Linked DNA regions of Coturnix japonica. The protein of the gene in region 1 purifies or fractionates together with the protein of each later gene. This does not show direct contact. Links are inferred from orthologs where the notes say so. Each region holds a gene or a part of one and is shown on either strand. Other genes may lie near its edges.

Region 1 (4,360 bases):
AGTTTTCCACGGGGGGGCACAGCAACAGAGCCAGTACAGCGCCCAATATTCCCCATTCTGAACAGACCTGGAAATCTAAATGACAATCAGTTCTTTCTTATTTTGCAATCTACAGCACAAATTCTGCACCCTTCACGTGGAAAACTAACGTCGAGAAAATGTCATAGATGCTTCAGTGAAAACCAACAGTATCAAGTTAGTGCAGGTTGCAGTGTCTGCTTTGCATGGGATTCCTAGCTGAACGCTGAATAATTCACAGATCTCTTTAATGTTATTAACACATCAGACTTAATATCATTAGCCAACATACTAACATCAACCTACCAGGTTTATGTAAACACAAGAAGCAATTTAACCTGTATTTGAGGTTTGTGTTTTTAAGATAGTATCTCATTCTACCAACGTGTGTAAGGAGTTAGAAATCAAAATTATTGAAGACTTCTACATATAGAATTACCATTAAAATTTGGTACTGAATTCACTACGTCAAGTGAAAACCTGTATCCCCCCTCTTTCAGTTTAAAACCATTCCCCCTTAGCCTATCACTATCCACCCCAGTAAAAAGTCGTCCTCCATCCTGTTTCTAAGCTCCCCTCAAGTGCTGGAAGGCTGCAATGAAATTTCTCCTGAACCTTCTTTTCGTAGCTTTCGGCTCCTGCTTTTTGTTGTGACATCTCCAGAGTGAATGCATTTCAATCCTCCTGGTACTCCCATTCTTTCAGAACCGGGTGATTATTGCAGCTGAACACAGCTTCCTCTTGGACAAAAAAAAAAGAAGCTTGGAAAATGTTATGCCTTCAAAGTCATGTGGCATCCACACAGACCTCCTTACAGCCACCCCTGCAGTCAGATTCACCTCCCTGTTGTGTTCCTAATGCCTCCTCTAAAAGTCAGCTGTATCTCTAGATCAATGATATAGCCCAGAAACAAGAGGAAGCGATTCTGATAGTAAACCGTGTGATGTTTCATTCAGAACATTGGTGAACACATCTGGATTTTAGCAATCATGATCCTACCACCTACACAGTAGAAGTACATGGTATAATTAACCCGGAGAAAGACTCTTTAGAAAGAAGAGACTGTGCCAGTAAGAAACATTATTCCACTTAACTCCATTCTTCAGGCAAAGATTGGTATTTGTTGGAAAACTGCATTGATCATGTCACTGCCAAGACATCACAAGCATGGATTACAGCGAGGTACGCTGTTCTAGATGTATATGATCTGCCACCATGTCACTTAAAACAGCTGATACTGAAAAGAAGGATGCAGTAGAAACTGAGTTATGTGATGCAGAAGCACATACTTACTAACCGTAAAATACAAGCAAGAAACCTTAAAATACAAGCTTCTCATGCCTGTCTACAACTGGAAGCAAATCACTTCATCTTGTTACTTTTAATTTGAATATCAGTCCTCAGTCAAACCTCACTCTGTGACAGTCTGAGCAGAGACTGCGTCACATCATTCAGAGAAAGCAGGAAAAAATATACCAAATGCTGCACTGGAAACATGCCACAGCCCTCGTTCCTTATTAACCTCACAGCTCCTTATGGATTCCACCTCAGTAATTAAACTGCACCCCTGGAAGTTGACCACCTCCATTACAGCGCTGCTACTCAACATCATTTCCTGAGCGCTCAGCCTGCAACAGACCAAAATACCAAGAGAAGTTTAACAAAAACACATCATCATACGAGCACATGACTTCCAACCAATACAGAGTTAGCGAGCACTGAGGCTCTGCAGGAAATGAAATCCTCTGCCAAAAAAAATGACTTCTCTGAAAAAGATAATCAAGATTTCATAAGAAAAATGTCTATTTTCCCACTGCCAACCAACAGGAGATGCCCATCCTGCAAGCTGGTGCTTTCACAGCTCACATGCTGCTGTTGTGAAGCTGGAGCTCGTTTATTTCACTTTCATAAAAACTCATTTTTTGCCCTTTTTCTAATGTCCGCTGTCTGATGTGACTGAGCACATCACAGTATCACACACAGCTGCAGCTCCCCTCACACCTCCGGGATAAACACACAGAGCTCTTTGGAGGCAGAAGACCTGCTCACAGCTGTGTGTGTTAACCTGGATCCACCTTGCCAGCATCCTCAGAATCATCCGTGTTTGCAATAACAACACCAGAACTTGGCTCGTTACAAAGTAATAACAAATGCCACAATATAACTGCACGAGCGTCACCAGCCAGCTGCTCCTCGGATCCGCTCTATCGCTACGGACCGAGCTCAATGACAGCCGGGACCCGCTGCTCACAATGGGACCGGCAGCTCCAAAGGCCGAGAGCGGCCGCGACGCGGAGGGACGATGCCGGCAGCCGGCGGGGAGAGCGGCGGGGCCTGGGCTGCACCGAGCCACCCTGAGCGCCGCGAGGAAAGGGAAGGAGGGAACGGCGAGTGATCCAGCACGGACAGGAGGAACGGAAAGTCGCGACATGGGCGATGGCAGCGGAACGAAACGGAACGAAACGGAACGAAACGGAACGAAGGCAGCGGAACACAACGGAACGCAGCGGAACGCAGCGCCGCCCGCCTGGAGCTCCGGCCGGGGCAGGCGCTGGGGGAGCGGAGCCGGCGGCAGCGGAGAACGGCCGCGAGCAGAGCGCTCCTCATCGCCGGGTCAGAGCGGGGCCGGGCGGCCGCCCCTCACCTGGTAGATGGCGGCCCAGCTGGCGGCCTGGTCGAGCCGGTGGAACTCCTTCTCCATCTCCATGGCCGGAACAACGCGCCCGGCCTGGCCCCGCTGCTCCGGCTCCAGCTGCTGCTGCCTCGGCCCGGGCTGCCCGCTCCGCATCTCACCCCGCCCTGCTGGGCCGGAACTACGCAGCCCGACACCAGACGCGACGTCCGGGGCGGCCGCAGCCGCGGGGTTGGAGGGGGAGCGAGATGTGTTGGTTTGGAGCCGGGAAATGAGTTACTGAGCTTAGGAACGTTAAAGCTTTAGTTTGCATTTCTGATAAAATTCAGCATTGTGAGATTACCTGCGTTAAATCAGCCAACATCATGAATAGCAATCCAGCTGCCTGCAAATACGATCCATGCTGCTGCTGTGCTGTCTGAGTGCAGCTCTGTAGTCACTAAGCCAGCTGTAGCAGGCGGCATCTCCAGCGTCCAACTGCTGTTAACTTGCTATTAACAGTCACCACACCTAATGCTACTGACTGTACGTATCTGTGCCATTAGTCTACGTTAACATCCCCTTTCTTGAGCAGAACTGTAACATTTTGTTATACAGAGCTGATCTTCCAGCGTGTCCTTTTGCTGTTACACCTCAGGCATTCCTAGTTCTGATTCTCTGTTTGGTTTTGGTTCAGCATTTGGGGTTGTTCATATGGAAGGTTCATTTGTCTTCATTTTGGTTTTTGCTAACAGTGCATCATGTAAGACTCAACAATTCAACTATTAGCCCTGGGTTACACTGAAGAATCTGTTGGGGAGCACTTCTGGCCTCTTTTTGGTGAGGATAGCTCTCCAAAACACGTTCGAGGTGATGGCATTGCTTCATTGCTGAGTAAGCCCTCCTGTGGTTTCTAATCCAGGTGAAGCAGGCGGTCCACTTGGCCTCACCTCCTCGTGAGAACAGACAATACCCTGCAGGCTGTGCTGAAGAGGAAACAAACAGAGGACCCTCAGAGTACAGGGGTGTAAGAAAGCAAGTGGCAGTTTGTCAGTGTACGGCAGCACATTTCATCCAACACACAAATACCAATCTCTGCTCCAGGGCACTTCAGGGCTATGACTGTGGGAAATGGCATCAATCCCTGGCTGCTGCAGGATCACAGCATTTTCACTGCAGTGATGCATCTCATGCAGGGCCATGCAAACCCAAGCCCTTGATGGAAGGAGTGCTGTGCAACAGCAAGACACGTGGGTTTAGTAGCCTATGGATATAACATGTGGCACAGGGAGAATCTATATCCTCAGAGAGACAGAGAAAGGGACTGGCATGGAAGTGGTGTGGATTGCCATGTGCTGGGTTGCCCAATCAGCTAGAGAACAGCTGCAGCCACAAGAGGCTGGTTTCACTGTGCAGCTGTGGCCCTGTAGAGATCAAGGCCACAACGTGAGTGGTTTCACATGGTGAAAAGGGATCAGGAGCAAAAGAAGCTGCAGACTGGAAACTGAACGTTGGTGGTAGTAGTGAAAAGGAGGTGCAAATGGAAAAATAGATATATGTTTCTGATGGTATAAAAAATCTAAACATTTTACTAAGAGCACAGATTTCCTGATGTGTGGTTATGTTCTCATACAGCTCATCAGGTGACATATTTTCCATGTTAATAGTTTGGATGTCACCATCTGCTTGCTATGACTTTGAGTGCCATCGTGTTCACCTCTGCTTCAGAGC
Region 2 (4,359 bases), on another chromosome or scaffold:
TAGGAAACAGACTTTATTTTGATGAGAGCAACTCAAATGGAAAAACAGGGCATTTTTGCTTCCTTGACTAAAGCACAGAAAATAACATGGAATACAACTGAGCTTCTTCCTACAAGCCAACAGTTCTATTCTGAGCTATTTTTGAGGATTTTAGAAATGTTTAGTTAAAATTTACTGTCAGCTGTAGGTGATACAACCTCTCAGTTCTGCACAACTGATGAGCAATGTAACAGGTCCTACAGCAGAACAGCTGTGACTAATCCAACTAACACTAATTAAGTGATCTTTGACCTACTAGGCTAGTAGGTAGGCTAGCATAACATCCAGCTTAATTATTCATACCTCACTACTTGATATGAGTTGTACCGGACTTTGTCCCTATTGTCTGACAGCAGAAATGTAGGTGAGAGTTGTCTCTTTCTCCTGCGATAGTTTCTTTAGCTGACTATTCCCTATCATAATTAACACACACATGAAGTTTTACCGCTTATTTGTATGTCAGTATTGTATACCAGCACAAGTATGCTGGAATAGAAAAATCTGGCACAGCGACAGTCGCTCCCAAAGTGTGCTATAATTTATGTTAGCAACAAAGCATTAGGAAATGAATGATACATAAACTAACAAGACTAAAAGAGGATGAGGCAATGGTAATAAGTGGTTGCTTTTGTGGTGTAGGCAATGCAACTTGCTTACTGCCTCTTCTTGATAGGCAGCATTCTGTAATGCTCCTGGCAAGGTTGGCCTCACAAGGAAAAATGGAGAAAAGAAGGAAGACCAATGGGCAAATCTCATCCTTACAAAAAGGAGCAGCATAGCTGGCCATGAAACAACTGAATGGTGGATGTAGAGCTTGTTATTCACAGCCCCAACATAACAGCAGTATTAAGGGCTATGCAACAGAGTGCTTCAAAAGCCTAAAGCAGTAGTTGCATAGGTACAAACTGGTTGGCAAACACGGTACTTATTTTAGAAACTGCATTTCTAATAGATTTGAGAAAGCAAAATGGTGTAAGAGAGGCAGATTACAGCAGTAAGAAAGAGGTATGAGGATAACTGTAGTATAGATAGAGGAAAAGGGATAGGTCACGTCAGGTCAGACCACCTCAAGTCCATTCAACTGCTAAATGTATGAATCATCTCCACTTTGCAACAGACAATAACATTATAATAGCACGTAGTCCACCTAGTATGTACAAATAACTTAGATTTTTAACACTGTATGTAGCAAAATCATAAGATTCCTACAGGAGGAATGCATTCCAGGCACAATTTTCAATATTCAAGCTAGAATTTAGTTTCACCGCATTCACTCTCAGCTAATAGAGGCGCTGTCCTTGTTGAGTCCAGCAGAGCAACATCAAGAAACCTGCAACAGAGACAGTTCAGGGACAATCCAGGAGCCACATTATATGTATTTCAGGAGTATATTAAATGGACCTCAATCTACAGTTGAAGGTGCGTTTCAAACTGAACGTAATCCAAGACTGTGCACTAAGTCCACTCCTCAATAAAGAGAAAGCAAGGGAAGTGTGGACAATTTGTTCACTTCAAAAGCATATTTGCAGTCTGAAGTACGAACACAAATTCTCCCAGAACATCTACCTGGCCCAGTCTTCCTTACAGACACCATTCCAATGCAATAAGTAGGAAAATCTTATAGTACATATCAGTAACCCTCTCAACTTACCACTTTCAAGCCCATCTATAAAGCTTTTCACATTTTTACAAATGGTGTTTGACTAAATTTTACAGAGATAACTGGAATATATCACCCTCGCCTATGAATTGGGCAGAAGAACAAACCATCAATGATAGTTTAGGATCTCGTTTCCATTCCCACACAAATAACGTAACATAGCAAATTCCAAGAAGCCCTGTGTTGCTCACACTTTATGTATGTTATATGACAAAGTTACCTAACATCAGAAAGCTCTGAAGATAACACCTGTATGAAAGGAATTGGGTAAAATAACACTAAGTCATTGCTTAACTACAGGTATGTTATTACTTAAGTCTATTGAGTAAGTCCATTTCACCATCGCTGTTTAGCACCAGGATCAGGTTATGGCAATTACACGATATCTAACTGTACATGCCAGGTCTTTAGCACGCAGCCAGCGACCGAAGTCCATAGATCTGCCAGAACCACACAAGGACTGAGCCTGGAGCATCTTCACCACCCATCACACGTTCTGGTACCCGGCTGCTCCCCAGGGGCCAGCACACGACACACACACACACACACACACACACACACACACACACACACACACAGGTGAGACACCCTCACAGGTAACCCAAGCAGCCTCTATCGCTGCTACAGCTGTCGGCGTGCCGGCACCAGAATAACCCTCGCCCGTTATTACCTGTGCAGACAGGACAAACCTAAACGTATAACTCTTTCTCAGCAGTAGCTCACAGATGGGAAAACTGAGAAAACAAATACAACTCGAGCAGCGGAGCCGGGGCGTGCCGCCACACCACGGGCAGGGGATGCCGCCTCCTCTATAGGAGACGGTCCCGAGGGTGGAGGCAGCGGACCTCACTGCAGGGAGAGCCCCGGGACCGACCTCCGGGCCCCGCTCCGTCCCCACGCACCGCTGCAGCTCGCCCCCGGCCCACCGCGCCGCGCCCCCGCCCAGCTCAGCTCAGCTCACCCGTGCTGGGCCGCGGCCCGCCGCTTGTTGAGCAGGCAGAGCAGCGCGCAGGCGGCCGCCGTGCCGCCGACGATGGCGGAATGGCGCACGGTGAGGAACTTGCTGTAGGCAGCCATGGCGCGAGCGCTGCCGCAGAGCCGCAGCCGAACCGAGCCGTGCCGAGAGGGCGCAGGGAATGGCGGGACGAGGGGCGGGGCGCTGCCGGCCTCGCCTCCGCCGGCCGGAGGGAGGTTGTGCGCAGCGTGCCCCGCTCCCGTCTCGTCCCTGCGGCACCTCGGCCTGGCGGCTCGTTGTGCAGCTGTACGCCCCTGTGAGTCCCCAATGTCATACACGGGTAAAGGCAGCGCAAAATAAGCCTCCCAGGAAGGCTTTCACGTCACTGTCTTTCTTTTAGGGCCCTGAGAGGAGCTGCCAAGTTTAACTTTCAACACAGAGGAACATGTTACCAGTGTGAGTATAGAAAAGCCGCCCCTGCCCGGGCAGAAACTCACGGCCCGCCCCCGCCGAACCTGTTCGACTCGTAGGTGCTTTTCCCTCGCAGTCAGTAGCAGTCCGCCAGGCCGAGCTGTCCCAGCGCAAACACCCAGGCCAGCAGCGCTGCCATCGCACTTGGGACAAGTTTGTCTCTTGGTGCCGAAATGCGGTCTCAGAACATTCAGTTGTTTGCCTGTTCTAGAGCACAGGAGAAAGGGCTGCTAGAGCTGGTTCCCTGGCACTGACTTCTGTGTCTTGCACAGCCTGGTCATCTCTCTGCTTTAAAAGCATCAGTACATTGGTGTCTGTTGGGGGAACTGAGGTAAACTATTCCACGTGTATTCTGATCACCTGAAAAATATGCATCAGAATCACAAAACATGATGAAGTTTATTGTGTATCAGAATTTTTTCTCTGTACCGCTCAGAGTTGGAGGCCAAACTTGGGTGTTTGTTGGGGTCTTTTTGAAGTTTTAGATATTTAGACAGCAGGTAAATCAGAAAAGCTAAAAATAGGTAATATCCTCATCAAATAAAATTTCTTAGATTCATATCATTATGAAGGTGGAAGTCTAGAATTTTTCCTTGAGGTGCAGTTTTGCTGCCACTTTTCATCTCTGTCTGTGCTGGGATCAAAAGCAGTGCATGGTTGTAAGTTTCTACAGATCCTCTTTCCTCCATAGGCTTAGGTTGGTCATGCCCTTCCACTGAACTATCTTTCAAATATAGCCCAACACCATGCACCGTGTACATACAATGTCTGTCTATTTAGGCCACGCTGACCTTTGTTGTTTGCATGACTTGTGCTCTGCTAAGTTTATCTTCTGTCCTTACCCCACTTTTTGAGCTTACTCAGTACCAGATCCTGTATTTTGTTCATCTTCTACCTTGTCTTTAAATAATTTCACAAAAGCCCTTCATCTGCTAGGAAACCTGTCTCATGTGTCGAGTTCTCTCGCTGTTTAATCTACTGTCTTCATTTTTCACTGTTGGTTTTTATTTAAAAAAAACCAACAACTTTGTAGTGGAACTAATAAGCGGGCACTTAGTCCAAAACACAAGGTTTTTATTGATCCATTGTTTCATCAGTTTCCAACAAGACTTATGGATGAGCATATTCGTGGTAAAATCACCCACACCGACAAATGCTTTTGTGACAGAAGTTCCTCCTTTGTTCTGCAATTTGAGGTCAGTTTGTGTGCTCTGCATTCTTGGGACAAGTCAAC

What was found.
Region 2: the proteins of PTPN1 (region 1) and ABCD3 purify together in Homo sapiens (affinity purification with mass spectrometry; 3 studies listed by BioGRID and IntAct, with this or other methods). This does not show direct contact. The link is inferred for Coturnix japonica from reciprocal best matches to the Homo sapiens genes PTPN1 and ABCD3.

What each region holds. Positions count from the first base shown.
Region 1 is NC_029535.1:12,162,812-12,167,171, forward strand, and holds the start of PTPN1 (tyrosine-protein phosphatase non-receptor type 1), read right to left. Parts: upstream 2,827-4,360; 5' UTR 2,807-2,826; coding exon 2,663-2,806; exon of another isoform or gene 1-2,662. UniProt on the Homo sapiens protein: Tyrosine-protein phosphatase which acts as a regulator of endoplasmic reticulum unfolded protein response. Mediates dephosphorylation of EIF2AK3/PERK; inactivating the protein kinase activity of EIF2AK3/PERK.
Region 2 is NC_029523.1:11,763,813-11,768,171, forward strand, and holds the start of ABCD3 (ATP-binding cassette sub-family D member 3), read right to left. Parts: upstream 2,843-4,359; 5' UTR 2,777-2,842; coding exon 2,661-2,776; intron 1-2,660. UniProt on the Homo sapiens protein: Broad substrate specificity ATP-dependent transporter of the ATP-binding cassette (ABC) family that catalyzes the transport of long-chain fatty acids (LCFA)-CoA, dicarboxylic acids-CoA, long-branched-chain fatty acids-CoA and bile acids from the cytosol to the peroxisome lumen for beta-oxydation.